Linked DNA regions of Struthio camelus. The protein of the gene in region 2 binds, or shares a complex with, the protein of the main gene of each other region. Links are inferred from orthologs where the notes say so. Each region holds a gene or a part of one and is shown on either strand. Other genes may lie near its edges.

Region 1 (7,959 bases), on a different chromosome or scaffold from region 2:
GATGGAGAACAACTGCACAACCCTCCTATTCGCATAAGGCCGCAACCAGTTTTGCGACCTGAACTTTATTTCCCGCTCCCTTACTTGGGTCCCAATCCAGGAAAAGGAAGGTAAAGCTAACTCAAACTTTCCTAGAAGTTCAGTCCAAGGGGCTTTTCACAGCACTGTAAGATTGACCCCTTCTTTTGCACCACGGTCAGTGTCTCTGTGCTGCCAAAAAACTGTAAAACAAAATGAAATGAGATCGAGTTTCCTTACCTACGCCAGCCACAGTCTGACAGCACTGAGCACAAAGTGGATGTCGATGCTGCCATATCTAACAGCATTGCTAACGTCTTCACTTACCATGCCAACTTCTTGGGTCTTCTGCCCTCCCCCCTTACACTTTCGCTATATTCAAAACACACATATACATGCGTAGTACCTCTGTCAGAGGATCTGAACAAAGATAGCCCCAGACATACAATACCCACTACAAGAGAAACCATGCGGCAGTAAGGATGTCTTATCAATGACAAGGACAAAATTCACAGCTTTAGAGAAGCGCCCTTACTTCCTCTGGGGCTGACAGGCAGGTGGGGATGAACTCCAAGTGCCAACTGTCATATTTGAAGCCTGGGGGCAGTGCTTATTTATTTTAAGAGTTTAAGAGTTTAATCTAACTTTTTAAGGAAAAATCATTCTTATCAAATAATACATAACACTGCTGCTCAACTTAAACCTCAAAGGTAGTGGATATCTCAAAAATAATTCAGTTCTTTACAAACTTTATGAAAATCAGCAGCGAGCTGAAGAAAGAGTTCCATATTAACACCCCATACAAGCAACCACAGACAGGACTTAGCCTGTGGCCGTTCTGCAGTTAGCCAACACGCACATACAGGCTAACACACAGCGCTACGCGTCAGTCTGAGAACATGCTCCCTCTCACCCGGAGAGAGATGTCCAAAAGGAATATGGGAAAAAAGCATCTATGGAAACTGGCTTTTAAAACCAAAAAGCTGTAAGAAGCCAGTCTTTGTTAACTGCAGATTCAGTGGAACTACTTTTTATATACAGCCACAAAAAGCAAATAATCTCTTTGGTACTCTAAAAACAAAGAATGACTATTCTATTTCACAAAACAAAACCAAAAAAAAGAATAAAACATTTCTACTTCAGGAAGTCAGAGATCTAAGATGACGACAGCTCATTTAATCTAATCAGGTATCATGTGATACATAGTGCTCTCTTCATTTTGAGCTCCTAGAGGTCATATACAACCTATAGCAGCAAACCCACATTTTTCTCTAGTTCCATCACTATGCAACTGACAGAGAAGCTAACTAAATTAAAACAATTTGTTTTACTGCTTATATGACAGGTGGAGTTAAGCCCTGAAAGGGCCTCACCTGTACACTGCAAAGAGAAATGAGGCAAGAACGACTTTACCTGAAAGCACCTGTAAAGGGAGACTTAGCACAATTCTAGTTAACGTCTGTCAAGTGACTGATTGTGGGGGAAAAATAAGTAACCACAGCAAAACTCACTCTGCAAACTCATTTCAGAGGAATTTTAGGAAGGGGAATAAGAAGTAGATAGAAGTATAAAGAAGCAACAACACTGAGAATCATGGTAGAAATAAAGTAGAAATAGCTAAAGAGAAACAGGGAGAAAAAAAAACAGAGGGGAAAAAAAGGCACCAAAAAGAATAATACCATCACCTCTTTCTAGAGCTGGTTTTCATGACACACATAGGTAGATGTTCAAATCAAAGTTCAAGAAGCAGCTTCCCCACTGGCCCTTCTAGAAGCACCCCTACTCCTCACCAATCCCCACAACCTCTTATCACCCTGCGTGCTTCATTAAGGGTCTAGGTAATATTATTCAAGGGCAGGCAGCTCTCCTCTTGGATGCTTTCAGAGCCAGCCAGTGCTTCCACCTTTTAGCATCAAATTGCTTGCAAAGCAGAAGGTGGCAGTGAAGGGCACATTAAGCAGTAAGGAGAAGGGGAAAGAGACGAGAGCAAAATTTGGAAGAGGATAAAGGATTAGCATCTCATCTCTCAGGAAAGGCCAAACTCCAGCAGTCAGCCCTCTTCACTGCCACTACCCACTCCCTTCAGCGCTGCCTTCCACTTCTCCTCCCTCTTCCTTGCTGGTTTTCCCCACTCACTCCTTCCTGCAGCACATACTGCATCCCTAGACCTCCCCGCCCTGCTCTGCCTCAGTTCAACCAGTGCTGCCCCCAACAGCACCTCCCTCAGGCCAGCTCCCTGCCCCATGCAGCCCCCAACCAAGCCTCCCCCCAGGCCTCTGGCACCTCTCTCCCCTGCACCTGCTTCCCCCCAGTCTGTCTCCCTCCGGCCTCTGATACCCTCTGCCTCCCAGCCCTCCAACACCCCTCTCCCCTCCCAGCCCCTCTCCTCCAGCCTCTTGGCTCCCCTCTCCCCCCCCCCGCCCCTTTCCCCTAGGCCTCTGACTCCTCTCTCCCCTCCCAGCCTCCCTCCCCCAGGCCCCTCTGCCCCCCGGCCCCTCTCCCCTTCGACCTCCTCCTCCTCCACCCCCTCTCCCCTCCCAGCCCCTCTCCCCGAGGCCCCTCTACCCCCCAAACCCTCTCTCCCCTCCCAGCCCCTTTCCCCTAGGCCTCTGACATCCCTCTCCCCTCCTAGCCCCTCTCCCCGAGGCCCCTCTGTCCCCCAGACCCCCTGTCCCCTCCCAACCCCTCTCCCCCAGTCCCTCTGCCCCCCAGCGCCCCTCTCCCCTCCCAACCCCTCTGCCCCCCCAGGCTCCACAGTACTCCCAGGCCGTCTCACCCTGATGCCTTGCAGCACCCGGACTTGCTCCCGCTCATCCAGCCCGAAGGAGACCTTCCTGCTGCCGTGGCTGCTCTCGCTGCCCCCCATGCCAACGGGGAGGAGATGGGGGGGGGGGGAGTCTCCCCCCCTCTCACACCGGGACAGCCGCTGCGAGCAACACCGCTCCCCGCCCCCCTTTCCGCCGCCTGCCAACATACCCGCCCCTCATTGGTGGCTGCCTCCGGGGGCGGCCAATAGCGCGGCGCGTTGCTGGCGGCCAGCGCGGTGCAGGCTGGGGGTTGTAGTCTCGTGCGGCGGCCGCCGCCCGGGTTGGGGGCCCCGGGGGGCTCTGCCGGCGCCGTCCTTCCGCGGCGAGCCCAGGAGATGCAGCAGACAGCCGCGTTCCCAAACCTGGCCCTCCGTCGCTTGTGCCAGGCAAACCTCCCTCCCCTAAAAACTCAAACTGCTTCAGGAGGAGTTAAAAATAACAATCCTAGCACATCAGTTTGGAAAAAGCTACCCTCAGCAGTAAACAATCTGCACCAAAGCACGTTCAGGTTCAATTTCTGCCCCTCGGCTCTCCTGCAGCTTCCCCTCGGGAGTGGAGGTGCCGATCTTGCCCACTTTTTTATCATACTACCCCTTACACTTTCACTTTGATACGCCAATATAACGGGTTTCTTTACTGGGCAAAAATTAGCAGAGGAAAACAGCAAAGAAGCCCAAATTAGCACACAGTAAATGAATAAAAGTGGAAAGCATAGAGCTTATACTTTAAGATATTCCTTTAGATTCAGGAAATTGGACGAGACAGACGAGCACCCACTGCACGCGACCAAGATGCTGCCGGCTGTGGAAGATCCCCAGGGCGACAAGCCCTTACGGGGGTCCAGGCAATTTCCCCCCTCACCGTCTAGGCCCCGTGCCCCATGAGAGCCCACCTCCGGCGCCGAGCACAGGCATCCCCCTCCACCCCACCGGCGCACCCCGTGTCCCTCTCTATCCACCTTTTCTCCATAATTGTTGAGGGAATGCGTCATCACCCCAGCGCAGCTCACGTTTCTCTGATGATGAAAAACAAACATAGGCTACAGTCAATAAGAATTACAGTCAATTTTATGGCAGCTGCTTTGCAGGCAAAATTAATCATCTCCTTTAAGCCAGCAAAGACTTAACAGTTGTAACGTTCCTTGCTATGACAGGCACGTTCCCAGGTGCCATGTAGATGAGAGCATCGCACTGTGCTCCAGGTCATATAAACCCTCAGCAGGATACAGACCCTGCCTCCAAGCGCTTAGAAGCTGCAGGCTAAATGAAGGGAAAGAGAAAGAAGATAATGTAAAACACAAGCAGCCGGAGCAAGAGATAGTAGCTTTTGGAGGAGCTTTTCCTAGCAGTACAGGCTACATCATGCCCTATACAACTCTGTGCATTTGTAGCTAGACACTTACTGAAGCCTTGCTATCGACACACTGCTTTCCTACTTACTAGTTGTGTGTTAGAACAGCTTTCACTGTGCTTAATGCTTACCCTTCACTATAATTAACATGGAAACCACCGGTTTGGCTCAGCAATGGGACTCCGGCCAGGTCTAAGGAAGGATCCCCACTCCCTCCCCAAGAAATCCAGGCCTGCAGCATATTACTGAAAGGGAAGAATATTTTTCTGTTACTTGGGTTAACACCTAGCACATTGCAGACTTTGCTTATTGCTTGACCTCTCAAGACTAGAGCACTACAAAACGGTACTATCAGCTATTTGCACTGCAGCATAGAAATGCTGCGCAGGGTCAGAGAGCAGGTCTGGCTAAGCCAAAACTCTGCTTTTGAAAGGGACAACAGCTGATATCTAGGAGAAAGCATGAGTGAGGCAAGAGCATAGCAATTCCTCCCAGAATATTCTCACAGCCTCTCATTTATTTTTAATCTGCCACCCACCAATTTCATTTGATGGCTCCCAGTTCTTGTACTGAAAGAGCCCCTGAACAGTCATTGCCTGTTCACCTCCTCTGTCCTCTCAGGATTTCAGAGACCTTTACTCTTGCTCTTCCAAGCTGATGAGTTCTCAATCGTGTAATTGCTTCTCCTACAACCCGCAACTTTAATTATTCTGTCACCCTTCCTTAGGCCTTTTCCAGGAGTAATTCCAGGTACAACTCCAGCCAGGTGCCAGGCAACATCTGCAAGGATGCAAACATAGCAGGAGGGGGAGCGTGCAAAGAAACAAAAACACAATTCAGACCTACAGCTGTGCCTTTCTGTGATCTCCCAGAGCCTGAGAATACTGAGGTGGAAGCAATTGCGATGGTGGCAGAGCACCTGTACAGTAACTCAAACCCTTCCCTTATCCATGTGAAGAGGAGCAGATGATGCTGTCAAGTTAACTCCTGTGGTTAGCGTCCCTCGGGCAACCCCTACAGTTTTTTGCAGGTAGTCTGGCAGGAGCTTGGTAAGGTAAGGCTAGTAGGCTTTACTGCACAAAGACCTGACTTAACTCTCAGGCTAGAGACAAAGCTTACTCCATTTCCCCAGCCTGTATGCTCCACCAAAGAGCGGCTGACAGGTGCTGGCTACTGCCAGCTCTTAGCTGTTACATCAGGCTACTGTCCCCTGTACAGCCAGAAAAATTGGTCCAAATACTTAAGTGGAGTTCATTTCAAAGCCCAAAGGAAAAATAAAGCGTACAACAGTCAACTCATAGTTCCACACGAGCCCCTTTCCAAGCAAGAAAGACTGGCCTATAGCGGAGATCCCTGATGCCGGACATGCCAGGGAACAGCAAGATCTAGTTAACAGGAAGAGTCAGAGCTTCACTAATTATTTAGACCTGGAGACCACTCTCTGCACTGTCAGCTGCTGTCCTAGTAATAGACTTCCAAGAACCCAAAGTCTCCAGCTCTGTCATTCCATTAATATCCACCATATTTGTTCAGGGTTTTATCTTTTGCTTTTTAAAAGAAAAAATTCCAAAAATATTTTCCCCCTTAACATGCGTCACTTGAGAGAGAAAGTAGGACTATTTATGCCAAATTTAATTTTATTTCTTTATTTTACAAACAAAAAATATACATTTACTCTATATTTAGTCTCTTTGCATCTCCCTCCCCCCACAAACACATAACACACTTCTGCTCAAGGACCATTGTGAATATGGCCCAAGGCATTTATATACATAAAAATACAACAAGAGGAAGGTCAGTCCATGACCTAGTGCAGAAACTCCTCAGCAGCAGAATGTGGGACGCTCCAGAAACACTGGAGTCCTGCCAACAAAGGAGAGGATGGACATGTTGACCACCTACCAAGGCGATCCTTCAGCACTGAATTTAGCCGATAAAAAGACAAATTCATAACCTGCTCTTCACATCACCAAGGAGGGCAGGCAAGTCCTTTCAAATTCAAGGTGTTCAAGAGGCAGCAAATACTCCTTGGGATGGGAAAGCATTTGCTCCTTTATTCTTGAACTGCTTCAAGACTTCCACATCTCCTGGCCCTGTCCAAGGCCCACCAGCTCCAGGGAAGCTTTGCAGGTTTCCCCGTAGTGGCTAACAGCAGCTCACTACTGGTGTAGCTGAGCAGCATTAGGAGCAGCAGCAGGGCAATTCAGAGACCATGTCATCCATCCCTTTTACAGTAAGCAAGTAAGTGTGGCTCAGGCCGATTCACAGCAAATGATGGGAGGAGCATAGAACATTTTTCTGTGCGGCAAAAAGCTCACCTGGCCAGTTGCTTGTCCACCCTTTACACAGTCATTGCACGGAGGAGAAATGTGAAAGGCTGTTGAACCACATGGTATAACTCAGCTCAAACATATGGACAAACGGAAGCCTTTTTTCCTTAAAAGTAGATTTAAAAAAAAAAAAAATGTATTTAAAACTGAGGGGAGGTTTTTTGTTTTTAAGGTGTCAATGCTACTTGGAAGCCTGCAGGGCAAAGTCTACAGGCAGCAGAACAGAGAGGCTGCATTGCTCATTAACTAAGAAGATAAGCAAAGGGCCTGCATAGTTTTGGCAACCAATATGCACTTTGTGCTCTTATCCAAACTGTTTCTTTCCTTACAGTGGAAACACCTGGTAGCAAATGCTACTACCTAGTAGCAGTGTTTTGCATGATCCAAACTATCACTGCACTGTTCCCTCCATGAGGATTTCCTAAAAAACTCTTACCTCAATATTCTTCTTCAGGAACAGGAGAGTTGGGGAAGAGATGCACACAGTCCCCAAATGTTTCATATTCCCTCATTCTGCCATCTCCAATGGAAAGCTGCCATTAGTTATAGCAGATCTCCACCTACCTCGAGGACCCAGGTAGGAAGGAACCTCCAAAGCTAGAAGAATAAACCTCTTTATCCCTGGAGAGCTCAGTATGTCCCAGAAGCCAGTCTGATGCAGCTTTCAGCGGAACAGTCCCTGGATTGCACCACGGTGTCTTGGAACTGCGTACCAGGCAGTTCAGACAACAGTCCCTTTTCCAGAGTGGAAGAGATGAACAGGAAGTTCCAGATAGTCTTTAAATGAACCACACTCCACATGCACAGAAGTATTTTCAGTGTATCAAGCCAAAAAACCTATTCAGACCAACAGAAATCTGGACATCTAAACTGCAACATAAGAGAAGAACCTTGCCACAGAAGCAGTAGCTGAGTGTCCCTCTCCCACCTACCTCCCAACCTAGAACACCAGTCAGCTTGATTCTACTGCTCCGATGGTGTTTGAGAGCTCCCCTGCTCTGCTCTGCCTCAGGCATCTGAATTTCTCTGGAGCCTTCATCTGCAGAGTCAGCTCCCTCCTTTACAGTCCCCTCCAAGACCTTGCCAGACCCAAGAAGCAGGGTGCACATGTGAAACACATCCACCTCACATGTTTTACTCTTAGAACTCAGCCTTGACTCAGTGTCATTACTTAGATTTCACTGCGAGTTCAGCTGCACAGCAGCACAGTCTGCAGAGCCTGTTTCACAGCTGCTTCAGCTCAGCTAGTCAGCATGGCTGCCTGTCCTTCTGTCTCCCTGTCCTGTCAGGTCATGTCCATGCTGCTACCTATTAACTAGTGCACCCCAAAACAGTCCCAGGGCACACTGAACAGTTCTCTTCACACCCCTCTTCTTCCCACACACTCTTAATGCTCCTTTTATCCCCCAGAAACTGCCATTCATGATTTTCATCAGTATTAGCTGAAACTGGAG
Region 2 (7,396 bases):
TTGCCACAGCCTTACTGCTTACTTTCCACAGATATAAATGACTGCAAAAAGTATAATATTATGGTGAAAAGACCCAGTATCATTCTTTACCTGTAAGTCACTTATCTACATTTTAGATAAAATCCTAACTTCCTTGCTAAAGAGGGAATCTTCACAACCAAAATCTGTAATAAAATATCTGAAAACATTTCCTACGTGCATGTAGTCTTTCATTGTAGCAACATCTGTTTCATCTGTTATCCTTTGCTTTTGGTACTGAAGCTCGTCTTGTACTAATTGTTCATAATATTTCCGATGTCCCATTAACTTGCAAGCATCAGCTGCTGCCTGTAAAATACAGCAGAAAAATATAATAAAACTTTAAAAAGAAAAGATAGGCACAAGCCTGCAGTTTTCTTACTTCACCTCAAATTATTCCTGACAATCCTCCTATCTATCAACAAATAAAAAGGACCCTTTGCTAATTTACAGACAACTCCTAGAGAAACTAGAGAAGCATTGTCCAATTCTACAATGTGATAGTGAAGCATTCCCACTGGTCTGGAAAATATTTCTTCATGCTAAACCTGTTTCCATCAGGTCTATCAAGAGACGCTAAAAAAGAATCGTAAGAATTTTTTTAAAGATGGCACAGCAAAACGTAGTTGTTACAAATAACATTTAAGAGTGTGTGTGCCTCCTCAGTCTCTCCATGATACCTTAATAGATGAAGTATCTGTTCAAAGTTCTGATTAATGTCTTCTTTGAGAAGCTTTAATTTTATACAAAAATCTTTTTGATAAAAATTTCCAGCTTTAAGAGGATGCATATTCCAGAAGGAGTATTAACTATTTCAAATTACTATAATTTTTGGACCTGGACATTACTTTCTTGATGTACTTAATTATGTGGCTAAATTAGAAGCCGTGGCTCCTCTTGGAGACATAGGAGAAAGGACTACATGAGTGCATTGCAAAACAGAAACCTTATTCAAGTGCTCTTAACACCCTCTGGTGGAGTCAATGTTCAGTCAATACCTGGGCAGCAAAGGTTCCTAAACTATCAGGCGGCTACATTAGGTGGCAAAAGTTAGGAAGATTCCCCTTCAAGAGATACCCCTTCAAGATAACCCCTTCAAGCCTAGTTATGACAGAACTGCCTCACAACAGAACTGCAAGGGCAACTGTATGACACAACCTATGGAATGTACTATTCCATACATAATCTACACCAAAAACATAGACAAATGCTTTCACATATTTTTGTGTAAAGCTTTGTGTACGCTTTAAGCTTAAAGATAATTTTTCTTTGCTAACTGCAAATTAACAGCGTTCAGTAAAAGCAAGTTACTTGTTGGCATCTGAAATGTGTTATGCGACCAAGACTGAGTAAGAGAATAAACACCTTACACAACGTCAAAAATAACAAGCACCAAGATACCGCTAACTGATCAGAAAAAGACCACACATGAACACGAAGTAAGTCACCTCATTTGATGGACTTATTATTCTTTTTCCACTAATGTACTTGCTGCCTTGGCCTTGAGTGTGGCGAAAAATCTTAAACACGATGAAAGGTGGAAACTCCTGACCAGCAAATCTGAAGAAACAAAGAACACAATTAACTGTAATATGAGAACAGACTTCTGACGACTTAAATCAGAAAAGACTATTGCCTTGTTTTATCTTATCGGAAGGCAATTTAGTACTCATTATTTCTGATACAAGCTGCAAAGAACTTGCTCCAGTCTAACTTGCTCCAAGTGAACTGGAGATCCCACATCCTGGGTTGCAGAAAGCAAGGAGCGCTAAAATATGCAGAAAGGTGTAGTTTTATTTTTTAATTTAATATTTTGAAAATGGAAAGGTAGGGAAATCCATCTTTTTTATCTCTGTACTCTAGCCCCATCTCAATTCTAATGGCATTAAAACATTTCTGAATGTCCTATTGTCTTTTATAAAGGCTGCAAGATAACACATTGAACCCTGTTTGCTTCATGAAAAGCGCTCTAAACATAAGCCCAGAAGCCAGAAACAGTTCTTGTGGGAGGTAGTTTAAGTATGAGTAGTTGAAAATACTTTGTAAATAACTCCCAAATTAATGAGGAGTCAGTACTTAACAAAAAAAAAAAAAACACAATTAGTTGAGCTGGGTTGAAGAATGCAGTAAAACGAAGAGTAATATTTGGTGACTTGAACTAAAAATGGTTAAAAAATGGCTGCTAAACACACATTTTCATATCTCAGTGATCCTGGGAGTTCTTAAGATCTCAGAACTTTCCAAATAGCAAATGTTTTTGTCTAAAGTAATAGAGCTCTGTGTCTGAAAGTCCATTGAAATTCAAAGGAACGACAAGGTTCTCACTGATTTTCAAAGACGACTGGAAAAATAGCTTGAAAATCCTTCGTCTAAAGGAAGACAGAGAATTACTAAAACACGAAATCCTTACATACAAAGCATAGGATCAGTCTACTCATATGCGGTTAAATTGAAAGACTGGAATTTAAGTCTGCAGAAAGGAATGGTATGATCACAATGCTGGCATGTATTTTCAAAAATCATAACCCTAGAATACTTTTTTCATGTGAAGTATGGCTACCTTAATGTAATGTAATGATTTAAAGGATGGCGTTCAGGCAAAAAGATTTATTCTTGTGATTGTACATTGATGAAGAAATGCAAGATTCAGACACGGGGCACAACTGACTTTTACAGGTAAATGTTTCCATGAAAGTCCAGTGAGAGGCTGTGGGAATTGAAGCAAAGCAGCCGAGACCACCTTAATAAGGGGCCTGTAACTGACCACAATAGCCTGTAAAATTCCATTAGCTAAGAAAAGGTCATGAACTGTTATGAGCAGCCTGGCTGCTTTTGAAAGTGGTTTTCCTCTGCCTGAAGTCATAGATAGAATATTGTAATTCCTCTGGAAACATTTTCTTTTAGGTTGTTTTTCATTCGGGACTACATGGTTCTCATTTTCTTGCACGAGTCACGCCCAGAGTGCCAGATCAGAATGTTTAATGAATAATGTGTATGTAAGTCTGAGACTTCCTTTTTTTTTTTTTTTTAAATGAATGAATAAGTTCTAAAGAGATGTTTCTACATTGGACATCCCGAAAGTTGGAATATTTTCTATTACCAAAATTCTTCCAGTATATGGTAAGAAATAATTCAAAATCAGATCCAAGTCCAAAGTACATCCAATTTTAAAAATTCAAAATGTGCTTGATGTGTTCCCCTTTTACATGAATATCTATTTGTTACACTTTTAATATCACAACATATGGAAATCGTGAGCCCTGACTACATAATTATTTCTAAATTCCTAGAGCAAAAATTGCTAAAGCAACCTGGTAAAGACAAAAAGAAGCTAATTTCTCCATTCTTTGCTGTAGCAACTGTCAAATGGCCTCATAACGCCTTACCAAACTTTTTAAAAATATTCAAAACTGCTGGAAGCTTACATGGGAAATTTTAGTCCAAAAGATACAATCTGCAAAAATATCTGTTGTCATAAATAAAGATGTAAAATTAAGTATCGTTCCAACTGTAATTTTGCCTGACAGCGTGCTTAGCAAAAGCAGGCAGAGTACTCTTTTGTCAAGTTACGATCGCACCGTATGCTGGATTGGGGCGAACCCCGAATTGCGTCTACTTTACCTGAATCTGACCTTACACCTCATGCTAGGATCTTTTATCAGTTCAGCTTCTGTTGGGCTCACCCTTCTCATAATTTCATGCGTGATGCAATGTTCCTGAAACAGATCGAAATACAAACTTGAGCTCTTTTGGCTCTCGACGGCTTTAACGTCCCACACCTGCGCTTTACAGAGGAATCGTGAGCGGTCCTCGGAACTATTTCATTCGAAAACGTGGCCGGCCAGTACAAGATGCTTCTCCCCGCCCCCCGCCCACGGGCGCGGCAGCCCGCGTCCGCGCCGCCCGACGCCCGCGTTCCCCTCCCACGCGCAGCGCAGCGGCGGCGCCGGCAGCTCGCACCAACGGCCGGCGGGGGCCTACCGCGGCGCGCACCGCCCGCGTCAGCAGCCTGAAGAGCCGCATCTGCACGTAGCGCCGCCACCCGCGCTGGATGGTGCGCGCCGCCGCCGCCGCCGCCGCCGCCGCCGCCATGGCGGAGCCGGGCCCCGCCCCGCCGCGTTGCCGGGATACCGCGACGCGCAGCGCGCGCCGGGGCCGGGGCCGGGGCCGGGCGCGGGCGCGGGCACGGGCACGGGCACGGGCACGGGCGCGGGCACGGGCACGGGCACGGGCACGGCGCCGAGCCTGAGGCGGGCGCGGCCCCGCCTACTCGGCGGGTTGGCCTCTTGCTTCCCGCCCCGGCTTCCGTAGCGGCGCGCGACCTCGCCGACGTCACCAGCGCAGCGACGCGGCCGCCGCCACGGCCAGCCCGCGCTGCTACCGCCATGTTCAAGGTGAGGAGCACCTCCCCTGCCCCCCCCTCCCCCGCCGCGCGCCCGCGGCCGTTACCCGCCGCCGCTCCCCCTCCCGCAGCGCCCCCCCGCCCCCGCAGCGCCCCCGGCCCGGCTCCTCCGGCGGGCCCGCGCCGCTCCATCCCCGCACGGGGGGTCAGCGGCCGGGCTCGCGGAGGCGGCGGGGCCGCGAAGCCCCCGGCCCGGCGCCCTGGGGGCGGCGGCGGCGGCGCCTGGCGGGGTCTCGCGGGGGGCTCTGCGGCCAGGCGGCGGCGGCGCGGCCGGCAGGGGGCGCCCCCGGAGCACCCTCAGCGGCGGCGCGGCCGGGCCGGGGCGCCGCGCTGGGCTGTCCGCGGGCGGCGGCGGCGGCGGATTCTCTGTCAGCCCCTCGCTTTCTGCGTTAAAGGGACGTGGTGTTAGTCGGTCGCACAGACTCGGTGCTGAGCACTCTCACGTTGTTACCAGCTAAGTTTTTTTCGACTTAGAGCTAAACGTCTTCTTAAATCGGGATTATCCAGGGACAGCTATGCCCAGATTATTTTGCGGAGCGTTTTCCTTACCTCTGGCAAGCTACGAGTTTTATATTTGTTGCAGTCACCTAATCTCTCACAGGTGTTTTAGAGTGAGGTCAAATATTCTATCCATGTTGCAAAAAAAAAAAAAACAAAAAAACGGATGGGACCCCTTCTGTTATTTAAATTAGGCCTTTATTAGACACAGCAGCATGGAATTGTAAGAAATTGTAAGAAAGCAGCCTTTCTTACAGGCTTTGGATTCATGTACATAGCTGTGAAATTCGCTATCTTAGAAGTTTTTTAATTTTTATGTGGGTTGTCAGCAAAGTCTGTGAAAAGGAATAGATTTCCGGGATCTGGGGTCGAAGGTCTTTGCCTCTGAGGTTAAGAGCCCAGACTTGCAACAATAGCAAGTTATGTAAGGATCCTTATGTAAGCATTTGCTGCCAGAATTATTTAGAGTCCCATAAGTGACACTGAATTCTACGTTAAAGGGGTTATATGTGTGCTGGGGCCCTGGTTCCAATACCAAATTTTAGTAGGCACATCAAACCTGTTAGACACGGTTCATGTTTTTCAATGGAAGAGTGGTACATTTTTAAGAAGGAACTCTGTTTTATAAAGAACACTGAAAAGCATAGAAACAAAACATTTTTTTTCTGATTCCAGATCTTGTAACTTTGAGCTACGTTACAGTCCAGTAATTAGAAATTAAGCTCACAGCTTGCTTTCTTTTCTTTTTTTAGGTGCACTACTTGTCAGTTTGCATTAAGCTTGGTTACAGATCTGAAATCTATGGTAGGGTTTTTTTGTACTGCCATAATATTACTGCTCTTTTTATAACCATTGTCATTAGGGATACTCCAGTGCTTAAGGCTAGCCTGATTGCTGCTGCTAAGAATAGGGAAGGTGGCTTCTTGGTCTTGATGTTTGTGCTTCAGGTAAAAGTAGTGCCCAAGAGTGGGGTTTGTTTGTTTGTTAGCATTGGGAGATAGGAGGAAGAAGGCAAGAGAATATGCAGCTGCTTTTTATGTTAGGGCAAATATTATCCTTCACAAAAATATAATTAGGATTTCCTTCCTTTTACTCTTCCTCTACCCCAGTTTTGACAGACTGACGATCACAGTAGCAAGTGAACTAAGAAAACAGACATGAGAAAAAAACAACCAAAGTTCCACTTAATCGTTCACTCTGTTTTCCTATTTGTATTGGGAACTAATAACAGATTTTCCCCGTAGGTTTTTTTAATTAGGAGTTAAAAGCTTTTGAGAAAGACAGTGAAGCAAAAGAATGAAAGATATGATAGGCTTTTTCCCACCAGTTTTGGTATAGTTTGCAGGTGAGTGATCTAATGCCTATAGATAATGATAAACTCTTCAGTTAGAAAAAGGAATAAACTTTTTTTTTTTAATTAATGAAAGTACAGAGCATTGCCTAGAGAGATTGTATGTGATCCTTTTTGTTATCAATTGAATAGATATAAGACTGAAGCAAGTTGAAGGCACAGCTCCATCAAAATGTTTTACTAAAACAATTGGTTTAGTAATATTCCTAGTACGGTATTAAGAAATGAGATCCTAAAGTGAAGTATGGAAATGGAAAATAGAACAGTTAATCTTTCATACTACAGAATAAGTGTTTTATTGTGTGTATACAGCACTTCAGTACTGATTATATGTGTCCTATAGACTGCACGTGAACAGCGTGCTTAAGGAGAGATTCATCTTGCACTTTCAGTTGTTAATTTCATTTTGTTCTTTAAGATGTAAATACAGAACCCTTGGAAAATGTCTGCACTTCAGTATTATGATAGAATGAATGATTAAAGTTTTCTTTTTGAATAGTCCTGTGATCACTGACATCTCTTTGGGAAGTCAAGGGGATGCCATTCTTGTGTTATACTGTTTGTGTGCTTGAGATGCATGTGCATATTCACATAAAACACTCAAATATTTAAAGCATTTGGATTTACTACTTTTGTTGGTGACGTTTAACACCATTTACCTTATTAGCAAATTATGCAAACAGAAAGAAAAAACATACCTGTTTGACCCGGTAGACTCGACTTATTTTTCCTGATTGGAGGTGATCAATAATTAATTATACTTTTATTTTACAAAAGATGTTATTGCTGTTGATTTTTGTAGGTTTCTTTTATACGAAGGATGCTTGTAAGAACATTAAATTGAAGATGTAAAAACTGTATGCATACATATAACAAATGTTTGCCGTAGTCAGATATTGTCTCTGAGTGACTCCCTGAAGTTGAGAGGCTCATTTCAAAAGCCTTCCCCACTGCTAACACCTTTTGAGTGGAGTATATGTCACTGATGTAATAGTTGTTGTAGCAGAGCTATTAGTTTATTAGAGTTGTTTCAAACTTAGGCTCACAGGAAATACTTGAACTCAGCATGGCAGTTCAGATGACTGGGAGGCGTGGTTTAAAAAAATTTGGTGCTGCTTTGAGGAAAG
Region 3 (7,639 bases), on a different chromosome or scaffold from region 2:
CCCCTTAATTACATGAGGACTATTTGCTGCACCATAAAAATTCTGAATTACCTTACAAGATATTTATAACATGCTTTGTCCTCTCTAAAATTCTAGCAGTAACAAGAACACTCATCCCTTTTGAAAAGATCAGAGGTTGAATTCAGACATACTAGTAGTATTAAGAATTTATACACCCTTCAACCTTACATAAAGATTCAGCATTCTCAGAAATAAGTGATCATTTCTTTTTACGCTCTCGTTTCCCTGATCAATATCTGCAATGATGAACTTACCCTACTGGTGCATAAACTGTATCTAGTTCTCATGGGACCACAGACTCCCAAACACTACTGAAACATTCAATCTCATGTTGTGGCATAGCGTAGGCATACCTGTGTTGGGACACAGGTAAAGCAAGTTTTGTAGGTAGAAGAAACATTAGCTCCTCCAGTTGGAAAAGGCAGACAGGTTTATGGGCACATCTCCTCCTCCTCACTTCATAGTTGGAAATCGAGGTATCAAGAAATGAAGTGAACTGCCTAAAGTCACCTAGTGGGCTAATGGTAGAATAGGAGCAGAATACACTTCCTTAGTCCCAGTCCAATGCTCCTTTCACCAGATTATAGTATCTATCACCCCTTCTTCACCATTCACTTTACGAGGACAACATCAAAACAAGACTTCAGGATAAGATCACTTTTAGCCCCTTACTCCATTTCACAGTTTGCTGAAAAATTATTTTACCTTTATTCCAGGAGTCAGAGGGAGAAAAGTCAAATTTTGGAGTGGGTGGAAGCTATAAAAAGAAATAGAGACAAAATATCAGCATTTGGGAGTTTCAGTTATAACACAATCCACATCACCTTGGAGAAGCCTCTTGAACTCAGATCTCAAAGACATTTAGGTGCCCAGTCGTCCTAAGTCTCAAAAGGGATCAGACATGTGGCTTAAAGTCTCGAAGTAACCTTTCCCACAGCATAAAGCAGGGGCAGAAGGCAGTATTCATCCTTTGGGTGCTCTTGAAAACACATCCACTCAATTACTTAAGTAGCTGTCTCCTTACAGTTACATTATAATCTCCAACATGGAAAATGATTTTCAAACCTTCAAAGGCTTCTCCTAGTCTGAGAGATTTAAAAAACTAAGGACTGCTCAAAGACAATGGACTACTCAGGTAATTTGCATCCAACTTGACTGTTAGGAGCTTGACAAAAACAGTTCTTTAAGGAAGAGAATCTTTTCATTAATTTTTGAAAAGCACATAGGATACTCCAATAAAAAGCTTAGGAATACCACTACATAGTGAAATATCCCTGCATAGGCTTTCTATCTCTTCTTTCAAATAAGATCTATGACCAATTGCTCTCCTCTAGGTTTAAAATTGTATCCTTCTTCCATTTCAATCCTCCTCAAAACATTCTCAGCGTGAAATCCAGATTCAACGGCAAAACTTTCGTCAACGTCATTGGAACCAGAATACCTTCCCAGTGCTTTCATTCAGAGAATGTGTATGGTTTGCTAACTACATTCACCTGCACAGTCCTTACCTCCCAGCCTATGTAATTTGTCCATTCTTGGATAGCTGGAGGAAGTGCTTCTTGAGCTTTTTTGAGGGCTTCAGCACCTTGTGTGCCACTGCCCAGCAGCCCCTGATCATATGCCACGTATACAGCTGCTCCAGCCAGGCTTCCTTTGATGACAAACCTGAAAGAATTAAAAGCACGTGAACAGGTCAGTTCACATTATATATATCAGTGCACCTTTCCCAGCAGGTTGTGACACGCAAAGGAACAGGGTTGAAAGAGCAGTTAGAAGGTCACAAATGTTTTACTGTGATGTCTTATTAGTGTCAAAAAACAGCAGAAAGATAGCTAGCTGTCCTCCCCTTTTTCCTAGATCAAATATTCCCAGTCAGCCCCTTGAAACTGTACCCCAGTTCACATATCATCAGTGACACTTGTGAAGAAAAAAAGGTGAAATTGTCAAAACTCTCTAAATATGTGCCACTTTGGAAAGTCTGAGAATTATGACATAAACTCTTGAAAAAAGGGACTAACAGATTTAGCTGTGGGTAAGAAATCCATGTTTATGATGGTTCTTGTTGCCTGGCTAATAACTACACAGATTACCTTGACAGACACCAATCTTTTGTTAAGCTCATTACAGTCCAGTTAGCATCTGACCATGCCTGTTCCTGCATTGCTTGTGCCTGTAAAGCTTCCCAGTGCAGCACATGGTGTGAAAACACTAGTGGCAACTCGCAAAGTGGAAGAAAATATTTGATCCTTAATTATTTTTTCACTATAAATAAGAGACCTGAGAGACAACATCTTTCCAAAAATTCACAGGGCAGAGAGCATTTCCCCCTCTGAAAAAACAGCAATTGCACACCTGGCAAAAAGAGAACTTGCCAGAGAGCAGTACCACGACAGCAGAGCACTTAATAGCTACAGCCACTAAGAGAGGAAGGAGCGAATCGATAGTTAAACCCGGCTATTCACAAGCATTTGGGGGATTTCTTTGATTAAGATGTATTGCTCGCTCCCAACACACCCTTCCACAACTTCTCCCTTCCAGCGGGCGGCACATCCAGGCCCGAAAGGGCTCCCTCGGCAACCAAGTACCCCCGGGGCCTTCCCAGGGTTTACTTTATGCGTCTACGCCCGCAGCGGGAAGGTCTCCAGGCTCCCGCCAGGCGTCTGGGGAGGCGCCAGGCAGCGGCCGGGCCGAGGGCGAGGCCGGCGCGGGCAGGATCAAGGGCAACGAGCTGCGCGGCGCGGGCAGGGCCGCGGCGGGCCCGCGGCAGTCGGGCGGCCGGGCCGGGCCGGGCCGGCGCGGACCGGACCGAGAAGCGGTAAAGGGCGGGCGGGGGCGGGCGGCAGCCGCGCGCGGGACTCACTTGACGACGGGAAGCAGCCTGGCGGCCATCGCTCCGCCAAGGGCAGCGCACGCTGGCCGCTGCGCGCCGCGGAGGCCGTCGGGAGCTGGTCACGTGGCCAGGCGGCCCCGGCCGCCCCGGCCATCATTACCGAGGCGAGAAGCGTTCGCCCTCCGCCTCTCTCTGCAGTGGGGGGCGCACCTCCCGCGCAGAAGAAGAACGGTTGAAAAGGAGAAGGACTCGTAGGAGGACTCGGTTGGGCTTCCTTTCGCCCGTCCTGTCTCCTCAGACCAGCAGGGAAGGCACTTCCGCCTCGGTAGCTGTCATGGCGGCAGGGGCGGCGCCGCGGAGTGAAGGCGGGTCCCGGCGCTCGGGGGAGGCTGCGGTAATTAAATCAAAACAGGGGGTGCGCAGGACCGATTGCATTGCTTGCTTTCATCTTTAATCATTTACCTGAAACAGCTGCAGAATTTCCACGGCGCGTCTGGGGGGTGCAGAATCGAGTAAGGATGAAGCGTTGTGAAAAGCGCGGATACGGTTGTGTGTGGAGCGCTGCAGTTCTGAATGGGTGAATTGCGGGTTGATTCCCTCTTGCGCAAACAGCTGGGAACTAGGCAATGCTGGTGGGGAAGATCAGCCTGGACTAGAAGTGTACTAACTGCTTATTGATACACATATTTAAGCAGATGAAACGCTTGAATCTGTGCTGCATTTTTATCAGTCTGCACCAAGGCCTTCGTCCCAAAATGTGTCATTTTGTCAGGCCGCACAGGGTGAGGGGACTTTGTCCTGCGGCCTTGGCTCTGGCCTAGGTCTTAGTCCCCATCCAGCAGTCGCGTTTTAAAGTAGGCACCAGCTGCTTTACTTACTTTACTGGATGCGCGTGTGCCTGAAGGAGCACATGCTGGTCAGCAGCGGGATCGGAGCCTCGGCTCTGTGCTCGCCAGGGTGGTGTGTGTACAAACTGCCTTTTCCTGTCCTCGCGGCGCTTTCCTGGGGTGCGGAGTTCCGTGTCATCGACCACAGGAGCAAGCTGTTAGTAAACATGTCATTAGGGTTGGGAGGATATCGGTTAGGCAGCCATGTCTCAAAATGAGGCTCTCGCTACAAAGCCCAAAGGCTCCGACTCTCCTGCTTCCCTGCGTGAATTTTAACCATTGCATTGCTCAACGTTTAAGGGGAGAGGGAACAAAGAGGAATACTGAGCACTAACTTTCTTTTTCCCTCACCAAGATAGTTTATCTGATTGCATTTTTCCTATCTTCTTTCCCTGTGTCTGCCAGAGTCTTTCGCACAAGAACAGAGGAGAGAGTAAGCTAGTTTTAAACACGTTTGCAGAGCTGTGGAAGTCGATGAAGTGAGTTTAGCAGAAGGGCAGCTTCTGGAACTGCTGAAAACTTAATTCCTCCTGTGTTCACTGTGTCTAACTGCTCTGGCTGCAAAAGAATTTTTAAAGACAGAAAAAGAACTCAGAAAATATAGAGAAATGATATTGGCTAATGATACTCACCTTGGTAAGTGAATGTTGTTAGTATTTAGTAAGTTCCAATGCTGACTTAAGTTTTGAATTTTCCTTTTGCAGGACAAATTCTAAAGAGAGAGAATTACAGAACTAAATCCTCCACCTTTTTCCCTGCTTCATGTTTCATTTTACATGCGGCTTGCATGCTGGGATCCGTAAGCATGGAAAAGAACATGTAAATGTTAGTGTGATTTTATTTCCATATTAAATTTTTGTGGACAGCTGCAGATGATCTATGGTGTTGGGGAAAAAGATGATTGTTTAGTTCATTTCAGATTTGATGTATTTTTATGTCAAATATGTCTGCAAGAATATGAAATAGAATGCAGCAGTGCAAATTGCAGAAGGCATTTACTGTAAAATTAGACTTTCAAATCGGGGTTTAAATGAGGAATCTGTGCTGACTCAACAAGTTTTTGTGGAGTGTTCCATTAGGGACAGACATTTTAAAAACAATTACCTCTGTCCAGTTCATTTGGGACAGACAGAAGGACAGACTAGATGCCCTGAAGCAAATGAATGGCTGTGAAAACAGTAGCTGAGAAAGGCAGGGAGATGGATGAGATGATTTCCGGAGGATCCTTCCAGACCTGTTTTCTGCCATCTCTGGCTCCCAGCAGACTTCATTGCCTCCAGCCCTGCAGCTTTACTGTTTTCATCCTGTTAAGGTTACTTGCTCTGGACAGGGAGTTCCACTGCCTTTGGTTCCACCTTTGTTAGATGAATGCAAACCATTTTCAGGACTGTGGTGCCCCCTTTCTTCAACAGGGAAAAGCAATTGCTTTGCAGCCTCTCGTCAAAGGATTGAGAGTCCATGTCCTTCCCCCTCTTCCATTCTTGCCGAAGATGACTTTGGCTCTTAGCGGAGAGACTTCTCAGGTAGAATCTCGTGACTCTTCCTGGTTCTACCCAGCACCTCACATATATGCAGGACAGAAAGACTTTATATACCTCACACAGGTTGGCTCGTAGCATCAGAGGAAGGAGATTACAGCGTTTTGGCTGGGGCGCTCAGCTTCAAGACCCCACATATTCAGTCTCCTTATCAGGATGAGCTTGTCTCTGACTCGCTTGAGAGTACCATCAGCAGGTAGATGGGTGCAGCTCTATGGAAACAGGTTCAAATAGTGGGCTAAACAGTATCCCAACCTGCTGCTTTCACAAACCCATCAGCATGGTTCTGGGAGAAGGGGAACCAGGGTCTTCACAGGCTTTGCTCCAAGCCTGCCTTCTAAGGCTGGTCCCCTGGGTGAGGATGTTTTGGGGATATAAGTGGAACACCCAGCACAATAGCATGAAGGCTGCTGTGGCTTACGGAGCAGTTATGAAGTGTTCTGTAGGAAGGATAAACTTGATTTAAACCTCATATTTTCCTCCAGATGCTGTCTCTGAACAGGAAGGTGTGTGAATATGTGAGAATTAACATGTATGTGCATGTGTGGGCATGCAACAATAAAAGGACCTTGCCTTGTTTTGGTCTCTGCAGCAAAGACTGGTGAATAATATTTTTGTTGATTTTATATCATAGTTGTTTTCAATAGCTAAAATTTGCTTGGAGAGCCCCTTTAGTTAAAGTGTTTTGTAACTCTTCACCAAAATGGGACAGAATTGTTCTTTCCTTGGCTGGAGAAACTGTTGGGATTTTATGTGTCTAGGGACTTTTTGAGCAGAGGACTGAAGAAAGTATGAGAGAGTCTCCTCACGGAGGAAACTGCTGTGGTTGCTACTAGCACCTGAACCTGAGCAGGGATAGGGGCCAGTTCTACTGGGAGCTGAATACAGGCTCAGCTAACACAAAGCAGCTACGTAGGAGCTTGCAGGGGAATCAAACTGGAAGGGGAAAAGCATGGAGAACACAGACAGAATGAGATATGTGTTGCAATCCAAGGGAGTTCATCAGAGTGGAAGAGATGCTTTCATTTTTGAGTTCTTTGCTCATGGCCAGCATGCAGCACAGGTCAGCAAACACACAAGCCTGTGCACAGATGCAGCATACGCTCCACTAGAGCCAGGCACGTACAGTAATACCCACCAGACACGATTGTGTTCTCACATGCCAGTTGCAAATGTGCAATGCAGAGGCGCATGCTGATTCCATCAGTCTTTATTGCAGCACAACAACCACTCTTCCTGCATGTCCAAAGGCATTCACCACATGTAAGACTGGTGGCTATACTACCTGTATATATCATCCCACATGCACAGATATTCAATGCATACAACACAATCCCACCCCCAAAATAGATATCTTCACCACACATACATACACAAGCAGAGCTCAACATTATGGGACAACTGCATGGGAATTTGGGTACAATCTCCCATGGTTCCCCTCAGTGACAACCATGGCCTCTTAACTGCCTTCACGATTGTCATGGAAACAGGAGATGATGGCAATGGCTCTGTTGAGATGGCCATTGCTGGAGGCTCTGGTAACAGAGGTCCACGGTCTAGGGGTAAATGTTGCTAGGAACAGCATGGTTGGGGGAGTTCAAAAGGAGCTTTCCACAGAAATGTACAGATGTGGAGCCATTGCTTAGGTGCACTAGCCATCAGCCCAAGACCTAGAGTCATAGCCAGGAGTGGGGGGGCTAAAATGAGTATTCACCTGTACAGACAAGGATGCAGGGGCTTAGTGTCTATTAAATTTGTCTGCTGTAAATGACAGCACAAGACCTTTTGGCCTTTAATTCAGGCTGTGGCATACATGTCAACAGGGACTTGAAAGAAAAGACTTAAAGAAAAGGGACTTGAAAGAAAAGGGATAAATCAGTCACAAAAGGTTTCTGTGCAGAACCTGTTTTCCCTTGCTATCCCCTGCTTAGTGAAGCTAAGGGTGGAGACCGCATTTCCAGCAGGGACTGTAATGTTTTTGCTCCTTAGTGCAAGGAACCTTCCCTTTCCAAAGCCATACAAAGGAAGCATAAAGGGCCCCATTAATCTTGCACACATTCCACCCATGAGGAATTTCTTTCCCTGTAATATTTTGCAGCCCCCCCCCCCCTTCTTCCTACCTCTGGCCCCTCATAAATAGCCCATTTTCTCTGGGATGGTGCTGGGGTGGGGAGGAGGGAAAAGAGAAGTTGCTGAGCCTGTGTGAAAGGTGAACCAGCTGTAGCAGCTGAGCTGGGGCTGGGTGCAGAGGTACAAGCTGAGCCTTGGCAGCTGTGCAATGAAAGGGGAAATTGTACTGCTGCTGTGGGACCCTTGCAAAGTTCCCTTCCTCAGAGGTGGAGAAGTTCAGGCGTTCAGAAATA
Region 4 (7,507 bases), about 130 Mb from region 2:
ACTTTACCAAACTCTTTTAAATGAGAGTACCGCCTCTCTGGTGCAGAGTCTACTTGATGCATTTGAGCAGCCCTCAACAACGAAATACAAAATGTTGACAGAACTATCATTTTGAGCTATCAGTCTGTATAAACTGATGGTATTTTTAAGGAAGATTCTCAGGAAGAATAATGAACTATTGAATTTGGGGGGGGGGTGTATAAATATTTACACACACATGAACATACAAAAAATATATCTGTATTCTATACATACACATTTGAATATATAAAACTCATTTCAACGATTTCATGATAGGGAATAATATATCCTTCTTTTATTGAAATACACTGTAGCAAATGCTAAACGTTCACTATACTAAAATTTAGCGTTGATCAAATACGTTAGAATTTTCAGCTCAGAACCCAAAGCATACTCTGAATGAGGAGGGGGTTTTTTTGTTGTCTTGTTTTTTGAAAAAGCAGAGTCTCTAACATTGGTAATACCTTGGGAAAAACAAGTCTCAAACAGTTGTTTTTAACATTTTACTGTCAATCAGAAGAAAATAAAAGCAGTAAGTCTTCTAACAGCCCACAAACTACTTCATTCTTCAAAAAATGATCAGCGAAAAAAAATAAGGGGAACAATCACCTCTATGAAATGGTAATGAGTTCACTATAATGATCTGAAACATACATTCAATTTCCTTTCTCTAATGAAAACACAGAATACACGAGCATACCTGCACCAGATGCCGATCTGTGCTGAGATTGCGGTCTTCCACTAGGTGAAGAAGGTTCCTTCATGCGATCAACGACATTTTCAGACAGCTGAAAAAAATAACCCCCCACCCAAAAACAGTCAGACAGCATCTCCTCCTTCCTATCACCCCTCCCCTAATGAAAAATTAAATGAAAATTTTTTTTAAAAGGGCATAAACCCACAAAGTAAGGTATGACAGCAGCTTAAGATTTTATCAACAATGTAAATGTTCTGTTTCAACCATGTTTCTCTTTCTTTGTGTGGTGATCAACCAAAGTGACTGCAAACAATCACGGAGAACAAGGTAGTTTAGGCTCCCATAGAAAAAGAAGGTTGAAGGTGGGAGAATTGATATGCATTGATACGACAAAATAAAAGATAACACAGACAGTAAAGGAATCAATACCCTTTGATATGCTGCTTGTAATTCATCAGCCTTTTTGCCTTTCTCAGTTGTTGGTATGACAGTCAAATACCAGAGTGTACAGTTGCACAGCATTTATCATAAGGAAAACTTCGTCCTTAAGAAGTTCTCAAGATACTTGTATAACACAAGTGGTAAAAGCAAGTCTAGGCAACCACTAAGTTCCTTCTAATGCTGACATACGTGCGCATAAAATATTGTCATAACTTACATGGAACCAAACTGAGAACAAAAGCAAGGCCCAGTTTCAGGCTTAGTCCAGCCCCCAGAAATATTTAACATAAGTTAAAGCAGTAATAACATGAAAGTTTCGTTTTCCATTTTAGAACTTTCTACTGGTTTCCTCACCACTTACTCCTAAAAATATTGTTTTGACTGCTCAAGGAAAGTTTATTTTAACTAGTAAATTTTTTTATCAAAATATTACTAAACTTAGAGCAGAGTGTGCTTCAGTGGCAGAAACCCTTCTTAGAAAGATTTTGCTAAAATTTTCGATCTAACATGCAACTGAAAGTGTGAAATTCCTTCAGCTAAAGGTTTCTGTGCCCAGTCCTAGAACTCTGAACACCACATAGTTCTACACACGCCAACAGACCCACTCTTACATGCCCTGTTCCCTAACATTATTTAACAAGCTAAATCTTCTGAGTATCTATGACACCATTCACTTTTTATTCCCAATTTTTCAAGATCCAAGATATTTTACAGCACTTTCAATACTACTTCCTCGTACTTAAGCCCCTGGAGCAAGTAATGAAATAACAAATACTTTATTCTGTTCTTGTGCTCCAGGTGTTTTAAAGAGGATGAACTTTCCTATGAACGCTTACATTATCGTGAGCTATTTGTCTGAAATCATTAAACAGCCAGAACAAAAAAATATTAGTATGCTGAGACAGGCAGCAATTACTATATTTGTTCATGCTGCAACATTCTTCCCTAAGAGCAGCAATACAAGACAATTCTTCATCATTCCAGATATGAACTACACAGTGTGTCTCACTAAAAAACTTTCATGACGGAAGACTGCTCAAAAAGTGCCATGTCACAAAAAGTCTGTCTTACAGGCAACAACATGCCATAGATAGGGAAAGAACAGGAACGTTTCTGTGGGTGCACACGAGACAAGTTATACTGCACGTGAGTCACAGCAGAATATTGAAGGGGAGGGAGCTCTGAGAGGTGGAGGTCAGAGAAAGGCAGAACAAGTCATGTATCTCCTACAACTGCTCTGCCATTTGTCTTTGGAAACCTCGTTGGGAGCAAGGGTCCCTGCTCAGAGCTTCCTGATCACAGCTGCTTGACAAGATATACCTGTCGCTCCACCTAAGCACCCTGGCTGTCCTCAGGTCTGGAGGGGGGGGTTCAAAAAATTAAAAAAAATCAAAAAAGGAAGAGCGAAGAGAAGGAGCAGGACAGGAAGCAGGTGGAGGTCACTCGGGGAAAGCGGCTGGAAGCGGAGCAGGGAGGGAAGAGAGAGGGGGACGTGCTGGGCACGGAGCGCAGGGGATGGTCGCGGCCCGCGGAGGCAGAAGGAGGCGGGAGAGGGGCCGGGGCAGCGCCGGCGAGCAGGCCCCGAGCGCCCCTGCGGCTGCCGCCGAGGGCCCGGGCGGCGCCGGGCGTCCCCGCTCTCACCCGCACGCCCTTCACCACCGTGATGTTCTCGTTCTCGTCCGCCTCGAAGGTGACGCGCCGGGTGCTGCTCCCGCCGCCGCCCATCTTCGCCCGGCGGCACCACCACCACCACCACCACCAGGCCGCGGCCGGGGACAGCACCAAGGAGACTCGCCGTCCCCGCTGCCAGCTCGCCCCCCTCAACAACGCCGCCTCTCATTGGCCCGCCGCTCGCCCAGCCCCGCCCCTCGCGCATAGAACCCCGCTCCCCGTTGGCTAGGGGGAGGTCGCCATGGAAACCGCGCGCCCCCGCCGAGCAGCGGCAAGGTACCCTGGGTCCGCAAACTTTTTCGGTTTGAACTTCCCCAAGGTGGCTGGGGGGGGCGTGGCCTACAAGTCCCAGGGTGCCTCGCGCCGGGCGGTGGCGACGGGAGGCGACGCGCGTTCGCAGTGCCCGCTGGGTAGCGTAGTCCTCGAGTGGCTTACGAGGTGGAGGGGCTACAGCGCTCGGGGAAATGTCGTTCCCCCCGGCGGTGCCGGTTGTGGGGCTCCCTCGAGCGCGACGCCGCTCTGAGGGGACTTGCCGCCCTTCCCCGAGTCTGCTCCTGCCGCTGGCGCTTGAAGGTGCGCGCCTTGTCCCTCCCTGAGGGCAGCAGCGCTCATGGTGGGCAGCTGGCGCTGGGGTGGAGGCTCGAGGCCTGGGCCCGAGCGGAAAGGTCTTACTCCATTTTCAACGTTATAATGGCCGAAAATTGCTGCGAACATAACCCCCGCGGACATGTAATTTTCTTTCCAAGAGGCTGACGGCATAACGTTAATTACACGCAACGCGTTTGCTTTTCAGCCGTCGGTGTGGAGGCCGTTGGGATCCGGCTGTTGCTCAGGTGAAGTCCCGCTGCGGGTAGGGTGAGGCCTACCTGCGTTTGCAGAACTGCAGAGGTAGGTTCTGGGGAGGCACCTGAAACGAGAAAAAAAAAAAATGCACAGTATAATATTAGAGAAAAATATGGTATGCTGGCTGCCAGTGGCGTCAAGACACATCTTTGAATTTCTCTTGCCTAAGTATGAGGCAAGAGCATCTTTACATAGGTGGTATATATGCATCTATGTTGTTTTGTTTCCTCTACCGTCTGGCCTCTTCACTTGTTTTATCCATCCAGTGTATCTTGTGATTAGCCAAGTTATGAAGTGCAATGAAACCCCAGTCTTCTGCTGCGGCTCCTTGACACGAGTGAAATACAAATATTAAGAACCACAATATTTAGGAATCTCTCTCTTGGTTTTTTTTTTTTTTTTTGCTCTTAGACGACCTTCCCATCTTGGCTTAAGGAAGGATATCCTGTTTTTACTGAAGTAGCACCGAACCCTTCCACTGCCTTGTAAGAAATTTGTCCCAGTGTGTTTACTTCTGATCATAATGGAGAATTGCAGCCAGTGTGAACTGACTCATTGTATTTCTCAGAATAGATGTAAGCATGATGTTGGTTGCATCAACAGAACTGCTCACATGTCCTTGATGTATTTTCAAGCAATTTTCCTTTGGATGTAAGGAGTCTATCAGCTGACGTTTCAGCAGTATCTGCCTTCCTTGGGGCTCAAAATATTACTGAAGCATTGGCTGATAGGCACTTTACTACTAAATAAAAATTACTTGAAAATACATCAAGGGCATATAAGCTGTTCTCTTGAGGTATGGGACGTGATGTTTATGCCTGTTTTTATAGATGTTAAATGAGTTTGTTTGAAGGGACACTGTTACGAATTCAGCACCCTGGTATCTATGCTTTTAAGGGAATAGAGGGACTGTGCTTCTATATCTGTCTTGATAGTGTGTGAGCACCAACAAGCTGAGGGCTTACTGATTTTTTTTCTGTGCCAGGAATGTTTTGAGGGCTAGATTTTATTTATTCAGTTAGCTGTCTAACTGTTGTGGAAATGCCCTTCTCCAAATCAGAATCAGCTCTTCTAATATATGTTGTCCTCTGTTTGGAGAGTTCTGAGAAAATATTCTTGTCTTGCTGAACAGAAGATTTATATTTGAGAATTAAGTTTTTAACAAGAGCTATTTTCTACTATGGGTTTTTATCATTATTCTGTATGACTTGGAATTACAGAATGCTGTAACATATGCATAGATTTCAGGAAAAAAAGCCATTCTTGAAGAACAAACGGGCAGAATTACATCTCAAAATTGCTTTGGGTCATTTTGATATGTCCATAAGGTTCACTAGTTGTGGAAAAAGCAGGACTGTGGTACCCCAGAATTTATAGCTCCCCTGTAATAGGTGGAAATGAAAGACTATTTACTGCAGGCCAGAGTTATATATTTGTCAGAAGCTTTTCTCTGTGGACTGTCAAACATATCTGGGGGCTCTTTCAAGGACAATGCTGGATGAAAAAAGTATTACAAATGAATGTAAAAAAAGCCACAACAAATTTGCAGACTAAAACTGTTCATTAACAGCTGGCAAATCAACTCATGGTTATTTTACAACTCTCACAAGCAATTTGCAAATACAAAAGGAAGTTATATTCTGTGTATAAAATTTATCCTTCAAACAGTTTAAATGTCCTCATAAATAATATGCTTATTTTAAGAGCGTGTGTGTCAATACAGTACACGGATTTGACTGCTATGTCGCATAGAAAAACACAACCTGGTTCAAACTAACTAGTGCAGGCAGCAGCCGTAATCAAAACATATCAAAACAGAGCTCAGCACAGAACAGTTTATGTTACTACTCAGCAGTGTTAATCAGTCCACAGGAGTTCTGTGCAGCCAAGCTAGGCTGCTTTTGATAAGTGAGCTACCTCAAACACCGGCATCCCACTCTTCAGTCAAGGTAAAGCCATTCTAAGATACATATGATGAAGGGACATGCCCGAAGTCACCCAGTAAGTCAGTGCCAAAGAAGCAGAACATTGGTCATCTGTGTCAGTTCTCTTTGGTTACCAGACAGAACATCCCTCCTACCAAGAGAAAAGATAATGTAAAAGCAGGATGTCAAATAAAGATGTAACAATCAATACAAATCCATTCACTGCCTCTGATTCTTGTTTGATCTGAACCCATTTCTGAATTGCATAAGCAGAAAATCCATCTCAAGCTAGTAAACTCCAAATATTTCACTGTGCAGCTGAAAAACAGAAGCAGGATCTTATTAGGTTAAAAACATTCACTTTCTGTGGAGCTCTGTGCCTTTCCACATACCCACCGTGTTTTTATGGCCAGATTATAAACTCTTGACCCTTTGTTAAAAAAGCAGTGTTGCTGTCCCCTCTTGATAAAAAGATATGTCCTTGTCTGGACATATTCCTTTGGAGCAGAAATATTTCTTGTACCACTTACTGCTCAAATTGTTAGTTATAAGGTGAAGCCAAAGAGTAGAGAAGGACAGCATGGCCAGACATTCACAAACAAATAAATCCTAATGAGCCCAGGAACAAGTTATTACTAAATTTCTTGTCTCAGGACTTAAAAAATGCCATGAAAACAAGCACTTGATAGGCAAGGAGACGTATAAAGGCTCATTGCACACCTCTTATGAGCTTTTATTCTTCTGCAGAGGATCATCCTGCTCAGTCACTGCCATGGTGAGCGTGTCGTACCTCATGACTTTACATGGTTATCCCTTGATGGTGATCTATTCCTTAGAAATGTTCAGCATGGAGAGACTTTTGTAGTACCTAGGTTCCCTCTTAGCAGCAATGACCGTAATAGCAAAATCTGCAAGTGCTCCGCATTTGGAAATTACTCTTTCCTTTTAATAGTTGGATGGGACAGTTCACAGTGCCCTTTGCCATAAGGTGAGGTTTCAAGAGTACGTAATGCATCTCCACGACATGGCTGGTGTGCCAAATCCTGCTTCCACTGATGCTATTGGCACAATTTTCAGTATCTGTAATGACTGCAGGGCAAATTAAGCTAACCCATCAGTTTCTTCTCATGACTTTGCAAAGATGTTCAAAGGCCTGGTTATATAAAGGGCAGAACGTGTTCCCTTTCAATTCCAATTTAGCTCCTGTGGAAGCTGAAAGTTCATGACTTCTCTGAGACTCAGTGCTTCAACCGTTGTTTTGCTTTTCACATTCAGTGTTTTATTCTCATTAGTTCAAGACCAGAGCATGCTAGAATTTTATTCCCTATCAGCAGCAGTTACCAGTTGATATCACAGAGGAAGTCACATCTGCATGGTTTGGTTTCCTGAGTCATCAAGATTAACAATCTGATCAGTGAATAAAGATTGAATGATTCTTCTCTCTCTGAGCAGAAAGGGTGAGTTCAATTCATTGTATTCATTGCAGCAGTGAGGATGGATTTCTGGCTGGTGTCTGAGACAGCTCCAGGAGATGTCTGCTATCTGCAGAAAACCACCACTTCTGGACACCAATTCTAGAGAGCCTGGGATGCTTTTTTGTTATTTATTTCTTCACTGGCTATTATGCACTACCTGTTATCATGCGAGAGATCTCTCTGCGCTTTCCGTGGAGGGCAGCCTGGATGCCATGCCTTGCAGCGTTATCTACCGAAAGCTGTTGCAAAGCTTAAGTTAATGCATATCATGTGGTTCAAGACCCTCAGATTTGGCTATGGACTTCAAAACTTAATATATTAATATTATGTCATATTAATAAGTGATTATTTATATTGATATACTTTTATCTGACTAGTGTCGTTCAAATCAGTTGCAAGTAAGCAGCAGAATTTGTAGCCAGCCTGACTGTCAT

The links.
Region 1: APOO (region 2) and CHCHD6 share a complex: the UniProt entries of both Homo sapiens proteins name them as parts of the mitochondrial contact site and cristae organizing system (MICOS) complex. The link is inferred for Struthio camelus from reciprocal best matches to the Homo sapiens genes APOO and CHCHD6.
Region 3: APOO (region 2) and MICOS13 share a complex: the UniProt entries of both Homo sapiens proteins name them as parts of the mitochondrial contact site and cristae organizing system (MICOS) complex. The link is inferred for Struthio camelus from reciprocal best matches to the Homo sapiens genes APOO and MICOS13.
Region 4: APOO (region 2) and CHCHD3 share a complex: the UniProt entries of both Homo sapiens proteins name them as parts of the mitochondrial contact site and cristae organizing system (MICOS) complex. The link is inferred for Struthio camelus from reciprocal best matches to the Homo sapiens genes APOO and CHCHD3.

Annotation. Positions count from the first base shown.
Region 1 is NC_090955.1:7,729,314-7,737,272, reverse strand, and holds the start of CHCHD6 (MICOS complex subunit MIC25), read right to left. Parts: upstream 3,017-7,959; 5' UTR 2,993-3,016; coding exon 2,795-2,992; intron 1-2,794. UniProt on the Homo sapiens protein: Component of the MICOS complex, a large protein complex of the mitochondrial inner membrane that plays crucial roles in the maintenance of crista junctions, inner membrane architecture, and formation of contact sites to the outer membrane.
Region 2 is NC_090942.1:135,303,240-135,310,635, forward strand, and holds the start of APOO (MICOS complex subunit MIC26), read left to right. Parts: upstream 1-4,388; 5' UTR 4,389-4,403; coding exon 4,404-4,412; intron 4,413-4,702; exon of another isoform or gene 4,703-4,873; intron 4,874-5,670; coding exon 5,671-5,722; intron 5,723-6,162; exon of another isoform or gene 6,163-6,263; intron 6,264-7,396. Other genes in the region: C1HXorf58 (uncharacterized protein CXorf58 homolog), read right to left, coding at 196-327, 1,467-1,578, 3,640-3,734, 4,000-4,110. UniProt on the Homo sapiens protein: Component of the MICOS complex, a large protein complex of the mitochondrial inner membrane that plays crucial roles in the maintenance of crista junctions, inner membrane architecture, and formation of contact sites to the outer membrane.
Region 3 is NC_090967.1:7,958,734-7,966,372, reverse strand, and holds the start of MICOS13 (MICOS complex subunit MIC13), read right to left. Parts: upstream 3,010-7,639; 5' UTR 2,911-3,009; coding exon 2,882-2,910; intron 1,687-2,881; coding exon 1,530-1,686; intron 779-1,529; coding exon 727-778; intron 1-726. UniProt on the Homo sapiens protein: Component of the MICOS complex, a large protein complex of the mitochondrial inner membrane that plays crucial roles in the maintenance of crista junctions, inner membrane architecture, and formation of contact sites to the outer membrane.
Region 4 is NC_090942.1:3,045,534-3,053,040, reverse strand, and holds the start of CHCHD3 (MICOS complex subunit MIC19), read right to left. Parts: upstream 3,008-7,507; 5' UTR 2,885-3,007; coding exon 2,801-2,884; intron 810-2,800; coding exon 722-809; intron 1-721. UniProt on the Homo sapiens protein: Component of the MICOS complex, a large protein complex of the mitochondrial inner membrane that plays crucial roles in the maintenance of crista junctions, inner membrane architecture, and formation of contact sites to the outer membrane.